Elephas maximus indicus: one gene and its partners. The protein of the gene in region 1 purifies or fractionates together with the protein of each later gene. This does not show direct contact. Links are inferred from orthologs where the notes say so. Each region holds a gene or a part of one and is shown in the gene's direction. Other genes may lie near its edges.

Region 1 (7,972 bases):
AGTCCAGTTGTGCTGACCTCGCCTGTATTGTGTGTTGTTTTTCTTGTCATCTAAAGTAGTTCTTATCTACTATCTAGTTAGTGAATACTCCTCTCCCACCCTTCATCCCTCCCCCCTCTCGTAACCATCAAAGAATATTTTCTTCTCTGTTTAAACTATTTCTTGAGTTCTTATAATAGTGGTCTTATACAATATTTGTCCTTTTGCAACTGACTAATTTCACTCAGCATAATGCCTTCCAGATTCCTCCATGTTATGAAATGTTTCACAGATTCATCACTGTTCTTTATCAATGCATAGTATAGGGTCGCTATGAGTTGGAATCGACTCGGTGGCAGTGGGTTTTGGTAGTATTACATTGTATGAATATACCATAATTTATTTATCCATTCATCCGTTGATGGGCACCTTGGTTGCTTCAATCTTTTCACTATTGTAAACAGTGCTGCAATGAATATGGGTGTGCACATATGAGTTTGTGTAGAGGCTCTTATTTCTCTAGGATATATTCCAAGGAGTGGGATTGCTGGATCCTATGGTAGTTCTATTTCTAACTTTTTAAGGAAGCACCAAATCGATTTCCAAAGTGGTTGTACCATTTTACATTCCACCAGCGCTATATAAGTGTTCCAATCTCTCCACAGCCTCTCCAACATTTATTGTTTTGTGTTTTTTGGATTAATGCCAGCCGTGTTGGAGTGAGATGGAATCTCATTGTGGTTTTGATTTGCATTTCTCTAATGGCTGGCTAATGATCGTGAGCATTTCCTCATGTATCTGTTAGCTCATTTTAACCATTTTTAAGTGTATAATTCAGTGACATTACATTTACCATGTTGTGAAACCATCACCATTGTCCATTTCCAAAGTTTTTGATCACCCCACAGAGAAACTCATTAACCACTTAAGCAATAAATCCCCATTTCTCTCTCTCCTCCCCCCCCCCACCCCTTGTAACCACTCATAAACTTTTCTCTTTATGCCTTTTCTTACTCTAGATATTTCGTATAACTAGGATCATACAATATTTGTCCCTTTGTGGCTGGCTTATTTCAGTCAGCTTGTTTTCAAGGCTCAACCATGTCGTAGCATGTGTCAGAACTTCATTTCTCTTTATGGCTGGATAATATTCCAATGTATGTATATACCACATTTTGTTTATCCATTCATCTGTTGACGGACACTTGGGCTGTTTCCACCTTTTGGCTCTTGTGAATAATGCTGCCATGAACATTGGTGTGCAGGCATCTATTTGGGTCTCTGCTTTCACGTCTTTTGGGAATGTATGTAGGAGCAGAATTGCTGAGTCATATGTTAAACTTTTTGAGGAACCACCAAATTGTTTTCCACAGTGGCTATAAGAGGGCTCCAGAGGAATTGAATTTTTTTTTTTAAGTAATTTTTATTGTGCTTTAAGTGAAAGTTTAGAAATCCAGTCAGTCTCTCACACAAAAACCCATATACTTGCTACACACTCCCAATTACTCTCCCCCTAATGAGACAGCCCACTCTCTCCCTCCATTCTCTTTTCATGTCCATTTTGCCGGCTTCTAATCCCCTCCACCCTCTCATCTCCCCTCCAGGCAGGAGACTGAATTTTTAATTTGATTTAAGTTCCAAGTAACTATATGTGGCTGGTGGCTACCATATTGAACAGTGCAGGTCTAGGTTCTAGATAATATCAGTAATGTGTGACTTGTCCTGTTACATGAAGAAAGGGAAGCATCTGAATAGCTGAGAATGAAGAAAAACATTACAGGACAAGAAAATACATGAACGAGCTGTGCTCAATTCACATTGAAAGTGTGAATGTGTTTTGATGCATGCATGTAAAAGTGCTAGTGTTTGGATGGGAACGGTGATGTGTTGCTACACTAGGCAGATCATGCAGCCCAGCTGAGAGGATTTGAAGCTGTAGGTAATGGGGAGCTACTGAACAGAATAATCAGTAGCTCTTTCCACGTGCCAGACATTACATCGAGTGCCTTACATGCATTATCTCATTTAATTATTGTAACAACCCTTTGACAGGAAAAAAAAATTCATTTGGTGGTACTGTAGGGGTAAGAGACCAAAGGCAGGTAAAAGAGAAGCAATTTTAATAGCCTTGGAAACATGTAAACGGTACTAATGAAGACAAGACATGATGAATACAAGAGTGAGATAATCTGGATCTTTAGGGATATAGATGAAGACAAAGGGAACACCAATGATTCTAGGATGAACGAAGGCATTAGATGAAGCAGAGGGATCTTGAGAATGATCTAGATCGATGGCAATGGAACCAGTTTAGTGGAGTCAAGAAATCTGATGGAGAAAAGCTTTTCAAGAATCCTATCAGCAAGTTAGAGATGAGGATGGAGAAGTGGCAGAGGAACCCAGAAGAGACAGTAATGGTGACAAAAATTGAGCATCAGTGGCAGGAAAGTTGGTTTTGGAAGGAAAATTATGGATTCTGTTTTTGACATGTTGATTGGAGGTGACCATGAATCCTCTAGATAATGACTTGCTGGTTGAGGGCAGCATGACGCTAGAGGTTTTGAAGCATTATCAGGGCTGGTGAGGTTATCCACAGAAGTAACTGTCCAACTGGCAATTGTGACGTGTTCTCTGAGGACAGATGGTAAAGGGAGAAAGTTGAGGAAAGAACCTTAGGTGAATGTCCACTCAAGCAGAGGGTGCTAGAGCTAGATTTTTTCTTTTAACCTTTTCAGTGAAGCAGGAATCAGGGTCACCTGCCAAGAAAGAGGGGTGAAACGAAAGTGGGGCATGGGGGGGAGAAGAAAGATCTGTAATGCGACACTTGAGGCTGTCCTTGAGAATCACCAAGAAATGAATGAAAGAACTGGGGACTAGATCAACATGATTCCATGACTTTGCGTAGCCATCTACGATTTATTCTCAAGAACTGACAATAATATAGGGTCACTCTGAGTCGGAATAGACTTGACAGCAACGGGGTTTTTTTGGATTGTATAACTGTTATGAGCATTTACACATATTATCTCACTTAATCTCCCTAATAATCTAGTTAAGTAGTTATTATTTCCAAATTATAAAAAACTAAGGCTCAAAAAAGTTATCACCTTAATTAAAAAAATAGACGCACACATAAAAAAAATTTTTTTTTTTTTTATAGCTGTATACAAATAATTGCCAACCATGTTGTTCTAGGCACAGAAAAAGGAAGGCAGGCAAGTTGCTCATCATCATGGAGCTTTTATTGATGTAATGACAGAGAACTAAAAAAATACATGAATCAGGCAATTTCAGGTTTTGATAAGTGATGCGAAGAAAACAAAACTGGTTATATAACAGATACGACACCGTGTCATGGATTGAATTATGCCCCCCCCCAAAATATGTGTGTTAACTTGGTTAGGCCATGATTCCCAATAATGTGTAGTTGTCCTCCACTTTGTGATTGTAATTTCAAGTTAAGTTAAAGAGGATTAGGGTGGGATTGTAACACCCTTACCAGCTCACATCCCTGGGGTGTGGTCTACATCGCCTTTCATCTCTCAAGAGCTAAAAAGGGACGCCAGCAGAAAGGGGGCACCTCATACCATCTAGAAAGCAGAACACATTCTTTAGACCCCATGTCCCTGTGCCAAGAAGCTCCTAGTCTGCGGGAAGATTGATGAGAAGGCCGACAGAGAAAGCCTGCCTCTGGAGCTGACGCCCTGAGTTTGCACTTTTAGCCTACTTTACTGTGAAAAAATAAATTTCTGTTTGTTAAAGCCATCCACTTGTGGTATTTCTCTTATAGCAGCACTAGATGACTAAAACAGACGGCAGCTGGGGAGGGAGTGAGGGAAGGCAGAGGCCGTTAGCTTGGTCTGGGAGGCCCCTCCGAGGGACAATGAGTGGGGAACTTTAGGATAATAAAGGCAGGAGAGAGTTTTCCAGAAGGAAATGACCAAGCGCAGTGGCCCTAAGGCAGGAACCAGCCAGGCTGGTAGGACCGACACCAAGGTTAGTGCAGCTTAAGCGTGGAAAGCAAGGGGGTATGGAGACGCCGCGAAAAGCCTGAGCAAGGGTTTACGCAAGGGGAGTAACCCGGTCCTGTTCGACGAAATAAAGCCTCTCAGAAGCCGCGTCCTGGTCGTGCGGCTCTGCGATGCGTGTTCCTTCCATTCGCGAAGCTGCCCGGCTCACGGCACATGGAGAAGAGACGGGTCACGAGAGGCTGCAGGCCGAGGGGCCAAGGGCCAAAACCCGCGGGAGCGGGCAATGTGCCGCGTCGGCTGTATCAAGCGTCTACGCAGCACCGACGGTCGCGGCGTCCTCGTCAGGCCATTCCCGGCCGGCAAGCGGCTACCCTCGGTCGTCGCCAGCGCCCCCCTCGCCTTTCGTTTCCGTTACCGACCCCCTCCTCTGGCACCCGCCGCCCCCGAACGGCCTGTCTTGGCCTTTCCTCAGGGGCAGCTGGACTGCCTTCCACAACTTGGGAATGACGATGTTCCTTCCCTTAGGAATGACAGAAAGATGAAATAAATTGTGGTTAGTGTGAAGCCCTGTGGAAAATAACTCTTCTTGCTTTTGTCTTGTTTTCCCTCATGCTTTCCAGAAAAGATTTCTCTCTCGGTACGTTCTCCAAGTTACCCCCTCCAACAGCGAGACCATTGGTTTGGCCTCTCAATCCCGATTGGCTGAAGTTTCAGGCTCTGGCCAGGGACTGGAGGACGTTTGTTTCCTACGTATTCCCTGCCCCCATTGCTTTGCCTTCCTGTTTCTGGGGCCTGTGGCTACGGGTAGTTCCCACCCCCTTGTTTACGGAGCGCGTAGTTGTTGGCTGCGAGCGCTGGGGCTGTCTCCAAAGTTCCCTATTCGGCTCCTCGGACCAATTGGATCTTCGCTCCACCCTCGCCCTCTCCCTTCCACGCCTCCCGCGTGGTACGGCCCACACCTCTAGCGGCGGCGCGTGCGGACGCCCGTAGCGTCTTTCCGCCCGCGCTCGCCGGCCTGCTCCCCTGTGAGAGTGCTCTTGGTACGGCCCGCGCCGCTTCGTTTCCTCGCTGGGGTGGCTGCCCCCCCTCGGACGGCGGCGCTTGGTGCCGCCCGGGAGAACCAGGTCATCGGTCGGTTCCCGTGAAAACAAAAACAATCGGCGGCGCGGCCGCGGGCACCCGAACGCGGCGAGCGGGGTCCTGGGACGCGGGCTCGGGGAGGGGCGAGCGGGAGCGGCGGCGACGCGCGGGGGGCCGGAGCGCCATGGGCCAGGCGGACACAGGCTGCACGGGGCTCCCCCGGCGCCGCGGCTAGCGCTCCCGTCGCTTCGGCCGCCTCAGCCGCCCGCGCCGCACGCCTGGGGGACGAGGAGGAGGACGCGGCCTCGGCCGGGCCCGGGCCGAACGGCTGCGGGGCCCCGGGCACCGAGGAGCCGAGCGCCGCCACCGCTGCCTCCGGCATGGATCAGTGCGTGACGGTGGAGCGCGAGCTGGAGAAGGTGCTACACAAGTTCTCGGGCTACGGGCAGCTGTGCGAGCGCGGCCTGGAGGAGCTCATCGACTACACCGGCGGCCTCAAGCACGAGATCCTGCAGAGCCACGGTAGGCGGCCCGGTGGGCGCGCGGCTGGGCCAGCCCTCACCCACCCGGCCCGCCCCAGGCCGTGGGGGGCCCAAAGCCGTCCGGCGCCCGCCGCCCCTGAGGCGCGGAGAGCCCCAGGCCCCCGGGACCTTGCCTTCTCATCTCACCCGGCTTACCTCCAGCCTGCCGGGAGATCGCTGTTAATCGGGAATCCGCCCGGAAAGCCGACTGGGAGCCGCGGGCTCCAGCGGGTTAAACGTGCGTGGGGGGGCTCGTCCGTGGCATCTGCAAACTGCCGCCCCCCGGGATGGGCGCCCCTCGCTCCCGCCCGGCCCTGGGGCGCCCACATTGTCCCCGCGGCGCGGTCCAGAGGGTGGGAAGTGCGTCTAGGTGGTAAGAGGGTCAGCGCAGGAAGCCCGTTCCTCCACCCCACCCCAGACCCTTAGCCGGTGAACTTTGTTTCGTTGTCTTTTTTACTAGAAAGTCGAGTGTTATCCTTAGCTGGAGGTTAACTGAACAGTTGCTTCAGCAACTTTATAATTTGACTGCTGTGTGGAAGCAGCTCTTGTTGAACTCTGAAGCACCACTGACCTGGTTCCTAGGAAACCGGCTGAATCAAACTGTTAAGCTCTCCCAGGGTAGTCTGTGATGAGACTGATAAGGAGCAGGCAAAACCCAGAAAACTCTCCTGAATCAAATTGTGGCTTAAGTTCCTAGTTATTCGCCCTATCTAGTCAAGTTTTTACTTGTTTACCATTCAGAAAACAGATTTCCTATAGAAGTCGTTTTACCCGGGTTAGTTCGTTATTGTCCTAGGCCCTGGGGACAGATACTTTGCCAGTTAACTTGCGGAAGCTGTTTGGAAAAGCCCCCCCCCCGCGCCATTTTCTTTAAATAACGTGAAAGATCTGGTGTCTTTACTTTAAAAGACAGGTAGTCACCAATTTAGGATGTGTTTGAGTTAGGACCTAGAACCAACTGATCTCAGATGTTTCTGTGTTGTTTTGTATTTTGCATCTAATGGTTACTAATGTGAATTACATACAGTGCTGGAGCTTATAATTTGCTGTCATACCCACATGTTCACTGGCATGCGTTCAAAGGTAGGATTTAAAAAGAGTGATAATAAAAGGCAATAATGATGAAAACAAAAGATAAGCGACTTATATCCGAACCTACCTACGACAGAGTCGTGGGAATGGAACCGTCTTTAGCGGCACTACTCACCTGGAATCAGAGTGATGATTTTGGTTGTGAAGTAAAGGACTTTTCATTTAGTGGGTTTATTTAAGAGTTTGGGTTTGGGAGGCTACTCAACTTGTGGGCGAAACAAATTTATGTAAAGGAAGGTTTGGTTAGCTGGGGAGAGATGTGATACTGTGACAGTTGAGATGAGGGTGGTGCCATTAGCCAAGATTCCCTTTCCTCCTTCTATACCTTCCCTTCCCAGGACTGCCTTTTAGTTGAGAGCAAGTGCTACTCAGTGGTAAGGGAGTCTTATGATGACAACATCTCATTTTGGACACAGCAGTCAATTTTCAAGTCCAGGGAAGAAGCAAACCTGCAACATTAGTGGGAGGTGGAATGAGAAAGGAAGGGAGTTGAAATGTTACTGTGGAAGAACCAGCAGACCTGGTGGCTGCCTGTGAAGGGAAGTTTGATTGACTTATTGGATGATGATATAGTTGGTAGAGATGGGGAAACAAAGTTGAAGTGGTGTGAATCCTGGGAATGCTGTGGTGATTTCGGTTTTGGATATGTAAGATCTGAAGGGCATAATGAAGATAGAGAGAAATCTTAAAATTTTCTATTGGCTGGAGATGCATAGATGGAGTTTGAGAGAAAAGTAATGTCTAAAACTGTTTTATGATGTCATTTCTACAGAAGAGAGGAGGAGATCATTTAGACCGCAGGGAGAAAAGACCGTAGGGTCTACTCACAACCCTGAACTCCCCTTGGAGAGTGGAAGGCAAAAGAGGAGCCAGCAGAAACCGAAAGGGCAGGGGCTTAGAAAAGGAGTGGTTGGTCAATGGCTCTTTGGTTATCGGGAGTCAGTAACCATCTATGCTTAACAGTTTTCACTAGAGTTGTTAAAACAAGCCTGATGACTAGGTGTGACGGTTAAGATTGTGTGTCAACTTGGTTGGGCCATGATTCTCAGTGGTTTGGCAGTTACGTAATGATGTAGTTTGGCAGTTATATAATGATGTCGTTATTCTCCCTGATCTGATGTGATGTGATCATCCCATTAGCTGTAAGGGGAATTTCCTTGCAGGTGTGGCCTGCATCTAGTATATATATGAAAGTTCTGGCAAAGCCTACTTGCTTGCTCTGGATCCTGCCTCCGGCTCATCATTAACTGACCTCCAGTTCTTGGGACTCGAGCCAGCTGCCTGCAGTATTGCCTGCCAATCTTGGGATTCGTCAGCCATTGCCCAGCC
Region 2 (6,960 bases), on another chromosome or scaffold:
GCAGTTATGTAATGATGAAGTCATCCCACATTTTGTGATTTGATGGATTATCCTCCATTTTGTGATGTGTTATAAATCCTAGCCTCGTAGGAATCGAATCAATGGTTTTGGTTTTTTTGGTTATACCTGTGGTTGTGGTCCCATTTGGGAGTGAGTTGTCTGTTATGCTAATAAGGCAGGATTAGGGTGGGATGTATTTTGAGTTACCACCTTACTACAGGGTGTGACTCAAGTCACCACCTTTACCCTAGTGACCACCCATATTCAAGTCACACCCTTACTTGAGTCACATCTTTATCTTACAAGAGATAAAAAGGAGAAAGAAGCAAGCAGAGAGGGGGGACCCGCTACCATCAAGAAGAGCCAGGAGTGAAGTGTGCCCTTTGGACCCAGGATCCCTGTGCTGAGAACCTCCTAGACCCAGGAGACAGAGAGCCATAAGATCAGAGATAGCGCAAGATGGTGAGAAGCGGCAACAAGTGTGGCAGAGGACCAGCAGCAGCAGAACCAGGAGACTGGCGCAAGATGGCACTGTGGGCTTCCTGGCCCGTGGAGTGAGGCAGCGTCAGTGGGTATGCTGACACAGAGCAAGAGAGCTGAGTGCCCTCAGGCAAGAGGCTTCCTGGCTAAGTGGGGTGCCTCCGGGCACTGATTGGCAGAGCTAAAGAGATCTGTAACACTTGCCAGAGCAGGGCAGAGGCTGGGCTGAGGGCCCAATGGGGCCGAGGGTTGGACAAAGAGGCCTGCCTGCAGGCACGGCTGAAAAAATCCACAAACTGTATCCTGAATCGTTTTTGATTCTGAATTACAGCCTGCTACTTCCCTAATGTAAACCCTGGTGGCGTAGTGGTTAAGTGCTACATCTGCTAACCAAAAGGTTGGCAGTTCAAGTCCGCCAGGCGCTCCTTGGAAACTCTATGGGGCAGTTATATCCTGACCTACAGGGTTGCTATGAGTCGGAATCAACTTGACGGCCATGGGTTTGGTTTTGGTTTTACTTCCCTAATAAACCCCCTAACTGTGAGTATTGTCTGTGAGTTCTGTGTGACCATTGCAAGGAATTATCAAACTCAGCACAGGAGAGAGTGCTGGGGAGGCATAGCTGGTGTCAGAACTGCTAAAAAGGTTAGAGAGAGGAGGCATGTCTGACCTCTGGCCTCAGAGGAACCAGCCTTGGGCTGTCGATGCTGATGAAGACTCTCTCCCCCTCGTGAAGTCAGAGGAGGTCAGACGCCTCTGCCACGCTGTTTTTCTTGTGCCATATTTTGGGCCTAGATTTTGACTTTTAATTCTTCGAACAGAAAAATCAAAAGGCATGAACATCCTTCTGACCTTTTAATATCACCAAATATGTGGCTTTCCAAAATGGTATTATCAGTGTTCTCTGTCACCTCTGGTTTGAGAGAATACCCGTTTCACAAGATCCTCCCCCACAAGTGAAATTACTAGTTTCTTGAGGTTGCTTGTTTGGAGAGCAAACAGTCCTTCCTATAAAAGTTTCCAAGGATATGTGAAGTTGTAAATGGTTTCCAAGTGTGCTGGCAGAAAAAAAGTACCTCTTCATAAATAGAACCTTGATGATAATTTCAAGAAACCCACTGCCATCAAGTTGATTTCATTTCTTCCACAGAGCAGCTGGTGGGTTCCAGCTGCTGACCTTTAGGTGTGCAGCTGAGGGCTTTAACCATTGTGCCACCAAGGCTCCTTTGATGAGGATTAAACTTAAAAAACTCGTTGCTGTTGAGTCAATTCCGACTCATAGTGACCCTATGGGACAGAGCAGAACTGCCCCAAAGGGTTTCCACGGAGCGCCTGGTGGATTCAAACTGCTGACGTTTTGGTCAGCAGCTATGGCTCTTCACCACTACGCCACCAGCGTTTCCTAATGAGGATTAAAATTAGAGCCCATTTATTTTACCATGGCCATTTTACATTTAAATAGAGCTTGGCTTACATTTAACTCATTGTTACTATAAAATAAATGAAAGTTTTAAAACAATTCAAATACAATGAAATCAAGTAATTTAAAGTGTAGTGGCTTGACAAAAGTCAACAAGAGGTTGGAATTATCTTTTTTTTTTTTTTTTAAATTAAAGAACAACAAGGCATCTAGTTGTCTGGATAATTGAGGGAGAAATTAAGACTGATGACTTTGCTATTAGTTCTGGCCAGAGATTGAGGGCCTTCAATTAAGTCACCATTGACCTACACTCTGGAAGACAAAATAAATAATTCTCTATTCACCAAAATGTTTCTTGCTTATTTGACCAAATGTTTACCATTACAGTATCTTTGGAAGCAAATGAAATATTGGAATTTATATCACACAATTTACATGTGCAAACCCAGATTCTACCAGCTAGGGAAAAACCAAACGGAACCCATTGGTCTGAACTGCCGGCTTTTGGTCACCTGGGTTTCCGGATAGGGAAAGGACAACCCTAAACAAAAGAAAATTGGTGAAAAAAAAAAAAACAAAAACAGTATTGCTATGATGGGTCATTGGAAACCCTGGTGGTGTAGTGATTAAGTGCTATGGCTGCTAACCAAAGGGTTGCTAGTTCAAATCCACCAGGTGCTCCTTGGAAACTCCATGGTGCAGTTCTACTCTGTCCTATAGGGTCGCTGAGTCGGAACCGACTCGACAGCAGTGGTTTTGGTTTGGGTTTTTGGTATGATGGGTCACAGAGCAACACTTAACGAGTTGTGCCAAATTAGTCGACCCAGCACCCTCTTGGAAGTGGCAAAGTAGAAGTCCTATTTTTGACTCTGCTGACCTCAGTGAAGATTTCCTTGTCTTAAAAATGGGCATACTTTTTTGCTACCTAACAAAAAGAGACCTTGAAAATTAATGAGTCTACAAAATGCTTTCACTTCTCTAGAAGCCCTTCCTAAGAACACACTGTAATCTTGTATTCATGTTCCCGCTCTTTGAAGGTATGCCAGTCTTCAATAGGATGCCTAACGGGGCATCTTCTACCAATAAAGTTCACTTTAAGTCATCCTAAAATTAATTAATGACATACTCACACTTTCTAGTGGGAGAATTTGCCTTCAGAAATGGTTTCCAGTCCCCACACGTTAAGTTAGGGTATTAGATTCTGCGAAGAGGGAGAAGGCAAAGAGGAGCGTATTACCGAGGCAAGGGCTCTAGCAGAGCCCTCTTTGGGCACCCTTAGATGCTCTGCTCGGGACCCATCTGGAGGTCGGGGGCGCAGGTCCTGGGGGACGGTTCCGAGAGCCCCGCGGCGCCCAGGGCCCGGGCTCACGGCGACCCTAGCGGGGCTCGATTACTCTCGCCTAGGAGGGAAGCTGCAGCCGCCGCTCCGGCGGTAACCCCCGGTGGAGAGGTGGGACGACGACAACAAAAAGAAGTAAAGTAGGAGGAGACTCGCCGCCGGGAGGACCCGGCAGGGGTGTCGGCGGCCCCGCGGGGGAGGGGCCCTCGAAGGGGACCCGCGGCGTCGGGGAGCCCGGCAGCCCCTCCGCGAGCTGCCGGCGGCGCCCGGGAACAGGCGCTCCGGGGCTTCGGCGCGCCTCACACACACACCTGCCCGACCGCGCAGCCCGCGCGCCAGGGACCCCCGCGGGCCCGCCCCCTCCGCCCCTCGCGCGGCTCTCGGCCTCCGTCCCCGCCCCCTCGCCTAGCACCGCCCGCGCGTAGCGTCTGGCGCCGGCCTGGCCCGCCCGCCCGCCGGGAAACAGCCGCGAGAGCAGGGGCCGCGGCTGCCGTCACCGCATTTTCTCCTCCCGCGCTCCCGCGCCGCCCTCGCCGTCTCGTCCCGGGGCCGCGCGCCCCAGCTGCGGCCAGCGTTCTCTCGGGACCTCTCCGGGCTCTCTTCCTGGCCCCCGTCCCCGAGCCCCCAACCGTCGCGCTCTCCCTCGGCGCGCGGCCCGACCGCCTGCTTCCGGGGCGGGCGGACTGGGCGCCTGGTGCCGGCGGCCGCAGCGACAGCGCCCCCGGGAAGCAGAGGAGGAAGGAGAGAAGTGGAGGTGGCCGCAGGTTGAGTCGCGGCCGGGATGTCCGGGCAGCCGCCGCCGCCGCCGCCGCCGCAGCATCAGCAACAACAGCAGCAGCTGCCGCCGCCACCCCCGGCAGCCGTGGCCCCCGTCTCCGGAGTCGTCGTGCCGGCGCCCGCGGCCGTCAGCGCCGGCTCTTCTCCTGCCAGCTCGGCCGGCGGAAGCGCGGGCGGCGGCGGCGGCTTGGGGGCCGCGGCGGCCGCCCTGCTCCTCCACCCGCCGCCGCTGCCGCCGCCCCCGGCCACCGCGGCCCCGCCGCCGCCGCCGCCGCCGCCGCCCCCGCCCCCCGCCTCGGCGGCAGCCCCTGCCAGCGCGCCCCCGGCTCCCCCAGGCCTCGCCGTGAGCTCTGGCCCGGCCGGAGGTGGCCCGGCCCCAGCCCTGGTTGCCGGCAGCAGCGCCGCGGCCCCCTTCCCGCACGGGGACTCGGCCCTCAACGAGCAGGAGAAAGAGCTGCAGCGGCGGCTGAAGCGCCTCTACCCGGCTGTGAACGAGCAGGAGACGCCGCTGCCTCGGTCCTGGAGCCCGAAGGACAAGTTTAGCTACATCGGCCTCTCTCAGAACAACCTGCGGGTGCACTACAAAGGTACTGGGCGTGTGTCCTGGGGTGGGAGTGGGGGCACTGACCCGACGTGTCCTGCCACCGCTTCCGACTCTAGGCCCGCCCCCGACTCCCTCCTTCGCTGGGCTGGGTGCCCTCCAAGGTGACTCGCCGCTCGTCTGCAGCCCCGAGGGTGGGCGCCGGGGTCACGGTGGAGGGTTCAAGGGTAAGGGGCGAGACTCTTGGGACAGGAGGGTGAGTCTGTACTGGTCCTGGTATAATGGAGCTGCTAATCCTAGGGCCTAGAGTAGAACACCTTGAGGGAATCCAGAATGAAGGGACATAACTCTCTTTCTGATTTCCCTTCGAGATAAATTTTAGGGCTGGGATGGGGGAATCCATGGGCTCGGAGCTGGGTTATATTGTTCTCCGGGTGATGGGTCAGGCGTTCTCTTAGGCTGAGGGAGACAGAGGCTCGACGGAGGTATGATTTCTAATTAAGGGAGAGCAGGGATATGTAGGGGGAGGAGTAATCAGCCGAGGATTTTGTCCAAAATTAGGCCGGAGATTGTCTAAGGGGACAAAAGGACAAGGGGCCCAAGTTTGCCGTTACTATTTTTTTTTTTATGCCTTAGTAAAAGCAACTGGGGGGATCTGAGGGGTGAAACGACAGGAGTGCGCGTGTTTTTAGGATAGGGGAAACCTAGTACCGCTCCTGACTGGAAATGTTCTGTGTTTATGTGTCGTTATTACAGTAGGTCTTATCGAACGGAACGGTTTTTTTTTTTTTAACATCTTTTAGTATTTTAAGGAGAATTGACTCATATTTTACACCTGTGATTAAAAAAAACTCTTTAGATTTGTACTTCCCCCCACCCCCACCTCCTTTACATTAAAACAAAGCTTAAGCGGAGCAGTTGTACATACATTTATAAGTTGCTGTGGCAATTTTTGAAATGTAGCCCAAATTAATAGCATGCGTCGAGTTTACTTGTCTGGGGGAAAAATATCGATCTGATGGATCAGCCTGTCTGGAAATAAATCCAGTTTTTCAGGCCCCAAACCTGGAGCAGGAGCTTTCACATTCGAAGCAGCCTCATTTTGATTGGCTGCAAAAGGAGGGTCTTAATCAGATCCTAGTGACCCGAATATAGAGGGTAAAAACAGCGTTGTGGTTAAATTCTTAAAGTGTACTGGGCTGAAATTTGAGAAGAACCCTGCTAAATAAGTTGCTGTTTAATCAGAAAGGAGAATGGCAATAGAAATCTGTCTTATGATTTGACTGCAAAGAATCACACACAAAACTAGGCTGTGGTGAATACTCCTTTTTATTCTTGCCATAGATTCAGAGAAGTACTTAAAATTCTAAGTGTTACGTTTCTTAATCTAAAGGACTGAAAACTTGAAAATATCAACTTTTTTCTTTAGTTAGGACGCTTCGTTAATACCTGTGTGAAGGCTTGCTTTTTTTTTTTTTTTTAATTTGCGTCAACAGTGCTGTTAGGAAGTGTTTACTTCTGATCTAGCTACCAGAAGGCTTTTGTTGGACTTGTCAGAACTTTATCATTTTAGATATAATGATAAAACCAGAGGCACTATGATATAGAAGAACCCTGTATCATACTGACAGGATAATCCTGAGCTCTCCTGCGTCCTGCAGTCTAGGCATGTCACAACGCAGGGTAGGCATCTGAGTGGTGAGTGGGTAGAGCTGGATGGTGGCTTAGGAAATTTCCACCTCTGACTTTCATGGTATCTAAGATTTGTGATTACAGTTTATTTAACACTGTAACGTGCCTTGATTAGTTTTACTGACTCCTTTTATACAAGATGGATGATTCAGAGCAGAGAAGAATGCATGCTTATGTGAAATTGGTTGGAGTTTGGAATATTTATGACATTGCTGTCTCAATTATTTTTCCTCTTGGTCTTTTTATTACTTTCTGTTGTGTAATGCTAAGATTCACTTTTTGTACACATCACTCTTTTATAAACGTAAACCATTTTTTTCCGGAAGCACAGATTTTGCTGTTTGTCACCCTTTTTCTTTCCCTCTCTTCTTTCCCTGCTTTGTTTCTCCCCTCCCGCGGGCATTGTTTTTACCCTCCCCTCTTTCTACTGTCTCTTCCTCTTGTCTTGCTATTTTAATGTGTGTGTGTATGTTTTGTTTTTCCTGAGCGTCTTCCTTCTGAGTGGGGCACGCCAAATGTATTGGGCAACTCTGTCCCTGTTGCAAAGGAAGGGAGCAAAGGGGAAGTGTCATAGGTAATAAAACTTCAAAGTCAAATAATAGAAGAGTGAATTTTTTTTAACCTAAAAAAAATTTTGGAAACCCTGGTGGCATAGTGGTTAAGTGCTACCGAAGCTAACCAAGAGGTCGGCAGTTGGAATCCACCAGGTGC
Region 3 (7,839 bases), on another chromosome or scaffold:
ATGCTCCCAACAATGCTGTGATGTGGGCTGTGTTGCCTCCATGTCTGACAAATAGAAGCTGAGGCCCGGAATGTTAAGGGCCTTCTCTGAAATTCCAAAGCTAGAAATGTACTTATCCAACATTTTTGTTCTAATTCATATTCTCTGTGGTCTTCCTGGCCAATGGACCTTGTTGTTGTATTCTTTTTGAGGCTGCACCCGGGTTTAGGCAGGAGCTACCCATGTGGCCATGGGAGACACCTGGGCTGCTTAGAGTCAGCCCCCATTGGACATGAGTCTTCCAGTGAGTGAAGAGGCAGTTTATTCCCATGGCTAAGAGTTCAGGTTCTAGAGTTTGACAGAGCTAAGTTCAAATCCTATTTCCATCACTCATCTCTCCAGGCTTCTATTTCTCCATTTGTAAAAATGGTGATGTTACTACCTCATAGGGTTATTGTGAGAGTTAAATGTGGTATATAAAGTCCTAGTTGTTTTTGTTAGGTGCTGTCAGGTCGGTTCCGACTCATAGTGACCCTATGCACTACAGAACGAAACACTGCCTGGTCCTGTGCCATCCTCACAAATGTTGCTATGCTTGAGCCCATTGTTGCAGCCACTGTGTAAATCCATCTCCTTGAGGGTCTTCCTCTTTTTCATTGACCCTCTACTTTACCAAGCATGACGTTCTTCAGGGACTCATTCCTCCTGATAACATGTCCAAAGTATGTGAGACATAATCTCGCCATCCTTACTTCTAAGGAGCATTCTGGTTGTACTTCTTTCGAGACAGATTTGTTCATTCTTTTGGCATTCAGTGGTGCCAAATGGTATATTCAAAATTCTTTGCCAACACTGCAATTCAAAGTCATCAATTCTCATTCAGTCTTACTTATTCATTGTCCAGCTTTTACATGCACATGAGGTGATTAAAAACACCATGCCTTGGGTCAGGTACACCTTAGTCCTCAAGGTGACATCTTTGCTTTTCAACACTTTAGAGGTCTTTTGCAGCAGGTTTGCCCAGTGTGATGCATCTTTTGATTTCTTGACTGCTGCTTCCATGGGTGTTGATTGTGGATCCAAGTAAAATTAATCCTTGACAACCTCAATCTTTTCTCTGCTTATCATGATGTTGCTTATTAGTCCAGTTGTGAGGATTTTTTGCTTTGTTTATGTTGAGGTGTAATCTTTGATCTTCATCAGTAAGTGCTTCAAGTCCTCTTCACTTTCAGCAAGCAAGGTTGTGTCATCTGCATAATGGAAGTTATTAATGAGTCTTCCTCCAATCCTGATACCCCGTTCTTCTTCATATAGTCTGGCTTCTCAGATTATTTGCTCCACATACAGACTGAATAGGTATGGTGAAAGGATACAACCCTGACTCACATCCTTCCTGACTTTAAACCACGCAGTATCTTCTTGTTCTGTTGGAGCGATTTCTTCTTGATCCATGTAGAGATTCCTCATGAGCACAATAAAGTGTTCCAGAATTCCCGTTCTCCACAATGTTATCCATAATTTGTTATAATCCACACAGTCAAATGCCTTTGCATACTCAATAAAACACAGGTAAACATCTTTCTACTATTCTCTGCTTTCAGCCAGGATCCATCTGACATCAGCAATGATATCTCTGGTTCCACGTCCTCTTCTGAATCTGGCTTGAATTTCCAGCAGTTTCCTGTTGATATACTGCTGCGGCTGCTTTTGAATGATCTTCAGCAAAATTTTGCTTGCACATGGTATTAATGATATTGTTCGATATTTCTGCATTTGGTTGGATCACCTTTTCTGGGAATAAACATAAATATGGATCTCTTCCAGTCGGTTGGCCAGGTAGCCGTCTTCCAAATTTCTTGGATAGATGAGTGAGCACTTCCAGCGCTGCATCTGTTTGTTGAAACATCTCAATTGGTATTGTCAATTCCTGGAGCCTTGTTTTTGCCAGCACCTTCAGTGCAGCTTGGACTTTTCTTCAGTATCATCAGTTCCTGATCATATGTTGCCTCCTGAAATGGTTGAACATCAACCAATTCTTTTTGGTATAGTGATTCTGTGTATTCCTTCCATCTTCTTTTGATGCTTCCTGCATCAATTTAATATTTTCCCTGTAGAATCCTTCAGTATTGCAACTTGAGGCTTGAATTTTTTTTTATTTTTATAATTTTTATTGTGGTTTAAGTGAAAGTTTACAAGTCAAGTCAGTCTCTCACACAAAAACTTATATACACCTTGCTACATACTCCCAATTACTCTCCCCCTAATGAGACAGCCTGCTCTCTCCCTCTACTCTCTCTTTTCAAGTCCATTTCGCCAGCTTCTAACCCCCTGTACCCTCTCATCTTCCCTCCAGGCAGGAGACGCCAACATAGTCTCAAGTGTCCACCTGATCCAAGAAGCTCACTCCTCACCAGCATCCCTCTCTAACCCATTGTCCAGTCCAATCCATGTCTGAAGAGTTGGCTTTGGGAATGGTTCCTGTCCTGGGCCAACAGAGGGTCTGGGGGCCATGACCACTGGGGTCCTTCTAGTCTCAGTCAGACTATTAAGTCTGGTCTTAGGAGAATTTGGGGGTCTGCATCCCACTGCTCTCCTGCTCCCTCAGGGGTTCTCTGTTGTGTTCCCTGTCAGGGCAGTCATCGGTTGCAGCCGGGCACCATCTAGTTCTCCTGGTCTCAGGATAATGTAGTCTCTGGTTCATGTGGCCCTTTCTGTCTCTTGGGGTCGTAATCACCTTATGTCCTTGGTGTTCTTCATTCTCCTTTGATCCAGGTGGGTTGAGACCAATTGATGCATCTTAGATGGCTGCTTGCTAGCATTTAAGACCCCAGACGCCACTCTTCAAAGTGGGATGCAGAATGTTTTCTGAGTAGATTTTATTATGCCAATTGACTTAGATGTCCCCTGAAACCATGGTCCCCAAACCCCTGCCCCTGCTACACTGGCCTTCGAAGCATTCAGTTTATTTGGGAAACTTCTTTGCTTTTGGTTTAGTCCAGTTGTGCTGACCTCCCCTGTATTGTGTGTTGTCTTTCCCTTCACCTAGAGTAGTTAACTACTATCTAATTAGTGAGTACCCCTCTCCCACCCGGCCTCCCTCCCCCTTCTTGTAACCACAAAAAATGTTTTCTTCTCAGTTTAAACTATTTCTCAAGTTCTTATAATAGTGGTCTTATACAATATTTGTGCTTTTGCAACTGACTAATTTCAGCATAATGAGGCTTGAATTTTTTAAATAATTTTTATTGTGCTTTAAGTGAAAGTTTACAAGTCACTCCCTCACACAAAAACCCGTATACACCTTGCTACACACTCCCAATTATGCTCCCCCCCAAAAAAAAAATTTTTTTTTTTTTATTGAGACAGCCCGCTTTTTTGCTCCACTCTCTTTTCGTGTCCATTTCGCCAGCTTCTAACCCCCTCCACCCTCTCATCTTCCCTCCAGGCAGGAGGTGACAACATAGTCTCAAGTGTCCACCTGGTCCAAAAAGCTCACTCCTCACTAGCATCCCTCTTCAACCCATTGTCTAGTCCAATCCATGTCTGAAGAGTTGGCTTTGGAAATGGTTCTTGTCCTGGGTGAGGCTCGAATTTTTTTATTCAGTTCTTTCAGCTTGAGAAATGCTGAGCGTGTTCTTCCCTTTTGGTTTCCTATCTCCAGGTCTTTGCCTGTGTCATCATAACACGTTACTCTGTCTTCTTGGGCCGCCCCTTGAAATCTTCTGTTCAGCTCTTGTACATCATCATTTTTTTTTTTGCTTTAGCTGCTCGACATTCAAGAGCAAGTTTCAGAGTCTCTTCTGACATCGATTTAGGTCTTTTCTTTCTCTCATGTCTTTTTAATGACCTCTTGCTTTCTTCATGTATAATATCCTTGATGTTATTTCACAACTCGTTGGTGTTCGGTCATTAGTATTCAATGTGTCAAATCTATTCATGAGATGGTCTCTAAAATTTAGGCGTGATATACTCAAGGTCGTACTTAGCACATAATATATGTTCGATACACTTAGCACATAATCTATACTTAATACAAAATGACTGTTACACTAATGATAAACTTCCCCTGCCCTTGGTGTTCTTCATTCATGTAACGTCCTCATTGGGCTGACAAGTCAGCCCGGATTCTGTTTCTCCACCACTGCTCCTGTGGGGCTGGAGCCCCAGGCCACTGGACAGAGGCGAGCAGGAGGTGCAAAGGTCGGGACTAGATGCCGCCTCCCTCTCCAGAAGTACTCAAGTTCTCTTCTCCACTGTCGGCCCAGAAGGCGCCTACCTTGGGAGGGGCGTAAAGCTGCAGCACTGCGACTGCGAGGAGGCCATGACGCCTTGGGCGGTCGAGCAGCCAGCCTCCATGGCCTACCGTAGTGTACAACCCGTCGCCATGGCGACTGCCGCAGCGGCCCGGCTTGGGGGCGGAGTCAGGATTGCGCTCACCACGGCCTCGAGCCCGGCGTCCGCGGCCTGGGAGGAAGGCCAAATAGCAAAAGTGAACTCGGGATCGGGAGCTGGTCCCCTCAAGAGTTAGTCACTGCAGCGGATTTGACCCTAGGTACCAGAACAACTGAGGCAGTGGGATCACCGGCGACCATGGTGGAGGGAGGTGAACCGAGAGGCTGGAGCCCCTTTGGTGGCGGGAATTGTAGTTTTCGGTGTTCCGAAGACTCGGTTGGACAGACTTACGGCTGAGCAGGTTTACACTACATCTCCCAAAGTTCCATAGCAGCTCGACTTGGGCCGTTCCTGACAAGATCTGCATTTTGGGATATGAAGTCCAAAATGTGGCAAGGCGTGGCCATGTCCAAAGAGAGGTGCTGGACTCGGACTCAGTTTCCCTGCGGCCCCGGCAGACTCGTTGGCTATTGGCTGGGCGGGGCGGATCTGGTCCCGCTCCTCCCCGCCCCAGTGACACAATAGCAGCTCCCTCCAAGATGGCGGCGGCGACGGCGGACCAGGGAGCTGGGAATCCGCAGGCTGGAGACACCTCCGGCGGGGGTGCGGGGGGCGGTCTGCCGTCCCCGGGGGAGCAGGAGCTGAGCCGGCGCCTGCAGCGCCTGTACCCCGCGGTCAACCAACACGAGACGCCGCTGCCGCGCTCCTGGAGTCCCAAGGACAAGTACAACTACATCGGCCTCTCCCAGGGCAACCTCCGCGTCCACTACAAAGGTATCGGCCACTCTGGCCACGGGAGAAAAAGCCTGGAAAGTCTTTTGGACGGTTGCGCTGTCCGGCTCCAGTCCCATCACATCCCTTCCCCGGCCTGGGTGCTCTGGGTTGGGTCTTAGTTGCGGGGGGCCCAGGGTGGTCGGGCTGACCAGGCCGAGGGTGACTGCCTGATTTTCTCTGTCCTCAAGAAACTCGAGGTCCAGAGAGCTGCAACAGGTGTCCAAACCCAGTGCTGGGCTGGACCTTCCACCCGAGGGCTTCCCTGCTTGATCAGCTCTAGCTGGGTCTTTCAACACTTCTTAGTTTCAGGAGTGCCTGAAGAAAATTATGGTCACATTTCCACCAGTAGCCAGATGCCCATGGGCTTGCTCTCCTGCCAGACATCTCAGACGGGGCCTCTCTTACCTTTAAGTGAAGATTTTCCAGGGTGGACCCCTCTTCCTGCTGGTCTCCTAGGTGGGCTGCCTGTATCCTGAAGAGACTGCCAGTAGCACTGGGAAATCTTTCACATGCACCTACACTGCTTGTACGCTCATTTTTGTTTGTATGGGAGACAGTTTCTCAGGCAGGGCTGCTATTTTCAAGAGGAGGTGAACCAAGGGTGGGAGGTTTACATGGTTGCTCAGCTGTTGTCTAATTATCCCTTGAACCTTGTGAGGGATTCCTCTGGCCATGGAAGTGTGAGCCTTTGAGCTTTTCTGAAGTTGCCGTGGATCAGTGAAGAATGAGGCTTCAATTTGCATTTCCTTCTGCTGAAATTTTTTCCTTGCCCTCTCTGCTTAGGTCATGGCAAAAATCACAAAGATGCGGCCTCAGTGCGGGCCACCCACCCCATACCTGCTGCCTGTGGCATTTATTACTTTGAGGTGAAGATTGTCAGCAAAGGAAGAGATGGGTAAGCCCCTCATTGCCACTGTCTTTTCCCCAACATTGACTTGTCAGAGATAGAGATCCCCTGGCTAACACTTGTAACTAATGTGAGCTGCTAAGCCACATTTGTGTAGCCAACTATCTGTGTAGTCATGGGTCTGGGCTGCAGATGGTTCAGTGGTGGACTGCCTCTGTTTCTTGACTGTGGCCATGGCCTGGTCTATGTAGTAGGCCTTGATAGTAAGTAGGTGGATTGGGGGTGGAGGAGGGACTTCTTTTTGGTGATGATGCAATGAGATACCTCACAGGTCAGGGAAACAGTTAACAAGTTTACATTAACAATTCAGTGACCAGAATGGGGTTTCCCAGCTAGAGTATGGTGTCTGTGACTTCCCTCCTTTTACACCCTTGCCACGTTCAAGTTTCCTTTTTATGGCATTTAGTCGTGTGGGGGCCCTAGTAGACTTCAGAGAGATAGTAGAGGCTTTGCAGCATTTATCAAAGCTGTGGCAGTCTCTGGCCTGTCATCACAGGGTAAACAGCATGCACATGGTCAAAATCAGGTGACCTTGCTGCCTATAAACTTGTTTTTCATTCCAGAAACTTGAACACCAGTTGGACCAGCTTTGGGAAGATCCTCATTAAAGTCAGTGTTAGGGAGACTCCCTATTTTAGGGTGACCTAAACAGACACAGAGGAGCCCTGGTGGTACAGTGGTTGAGTGCTCATCTTCCAACTGAATGCTTGGCGTTTCGAACCCACTAGTCACTCCACATGAGAAAGATGTGGCATTCTACTTCTGTAAAGACTCACAGCCTTGGAAACCCTATGGGGCAGTTCTACTCTGTCGTTTACGGTTGCTATGAGTTGGAATCAACTCAATAGCAACAGGTTTGGACAGGTATAGGAAATCAGAGGGAATACTAGAGGGAGATTTTTCAATTTTTCCTTTTTTTCTCCCAGTCTCTCCTTTTTCCAGTGATTGTGACAAAGCAGGTGTTTTAAGTTATGAAATAACATGATTGCAGCTGCTTTGGAAAGGCTTTCCTCATCAAGTCTTAGGTCTACTGCGAGAAGTTTGCCAACCCTACCAGTGACCTTCGTGCCGACCCTGAGTGTGTATTCTCTAGCATTCAGAATACTTCCTCTCTCCTAGGGACAGTCCCCCTTGTGGCACATGCAAAATGGCCAGCTAAAATCTGTGCCGGACGCAGGACTGCCAGAGTCAGAACCTTGTCTGCTTCCTCACAGTGACGTTGTCATTTCCCTGCCTGGGAGGTCTGTGTGGCTTTGGATAGGTCTTGGGGCTTCAGTCTCCTTGTTTGCACTGTGGGGAGCTAGGCCAGCATCTAATCTGCCTTTTAACCCCAGAATGCTGTGATTCTGAAATTCTGATAATGGGAATATATTGCATATTTCACTTTTATCTATATCTAGAACTTTTATAGATGTTGTTGTTAGGTGCCGTCCAGTTAATTTCAACTCATAGGAATCCCATGTGACAGAGTACAGCCACCCTATAGGGTTTTCTAGGTTATAATCTTTATGGGAGCAGATGGCCAGGTCTTTCTTGTAGAGCCAGTGGCTGGGTTCGAACTGCCAGCTTTTTGGTTAGCGGCTTAACAGATCACTTAACCATTGTGCCACCAGATAAAGTTTTATGTTATTGAAGGGCTTTAAAGCTCCTATTTTCCTTTCCTACCATCTGATACAAACACACATACTGTATATTTAATGTGTTTGAGCTAGTATGAATGAGAATGGTCTCTTAAAACAAACATTCCAAAAAATGGTTACTGTGTAGATTGAAATGTTGTTTGGTGC

What was found.
Region 2: the proteins of RMND5A (region 1) and RANBP9 purify together in Homo sapiens (affinity purification with mass spectrometry; 9 studies listed by BioGRID and IntAct, counting the BioPlex papers as one, with this or other methods). This does not show direct contact. The link is inferred for Elephas maximus indicus from reciprocal best matches to the Homo sapiens genes RMND5A and RANBP9.
Region 3: the proteins of RMND5A (region 1) and RANBP10 purify together in Homo sapiens (affinity purification with mass spectrometry; 4 studies listed by BioGRID and IntAct, counting the BioPlex papers as one, with this or other methods). This does not show direct contact. The link is inferred for Elephas maximus indicus from reciprocal best matches to the Homo sapiens genes RMND5A and RANBP10.

The regions. Positions count from the first base shown.
Region 1 is NC_064835.1:47,823,611-47,831,582, reverse strand, and holds the start of RMND5A (E3 ubiquitin-protein transferase RMND5A), read left to right. Parts: upstream 1-4,907; 5' UTR 4,908-5,410; coding exon 5,411-5,552; intron 5,553-7,972.
Region 2 is NC_064819.1:58,133,852-58,140,811, reverse strand, and holds the start of RANBP9 (ran-binding protein 9), read left to right. Parts: upstream 1-3,925; 5' UTR 3,926-4,020; coding exon 4,021-4,603; intron 4,604-6,960. UniProt on the Homo sapiens protein: May act as scaffolding protein, and as adapter protein to couple membrane receptors to intracellular signaling pathways. Acts as a mediator of cell spreading and actin cytoskeleton rearrangement.
Region 3 is NC_064839.1:34,248,949-34,256,787, reverse strand, and holds the start of RANBP10 (ran-binding protein 10), read left to right. Parts: upstream 1-4,804; 5' UTR 4,805-4,910; coding exon 4,911-5,145; intron 5,146-5,928; coding exon 5,929-6,040; intron 6,041-7,839. Other genes in the region: TSNAXIP1 (translin-associated factor X-interacting protein 1), read right to left, coding at 4,256-4,335. UniProt on the Homo sapiens protein: May act as an adapter protein to couple membrane receptors to intracellular signaling pathways.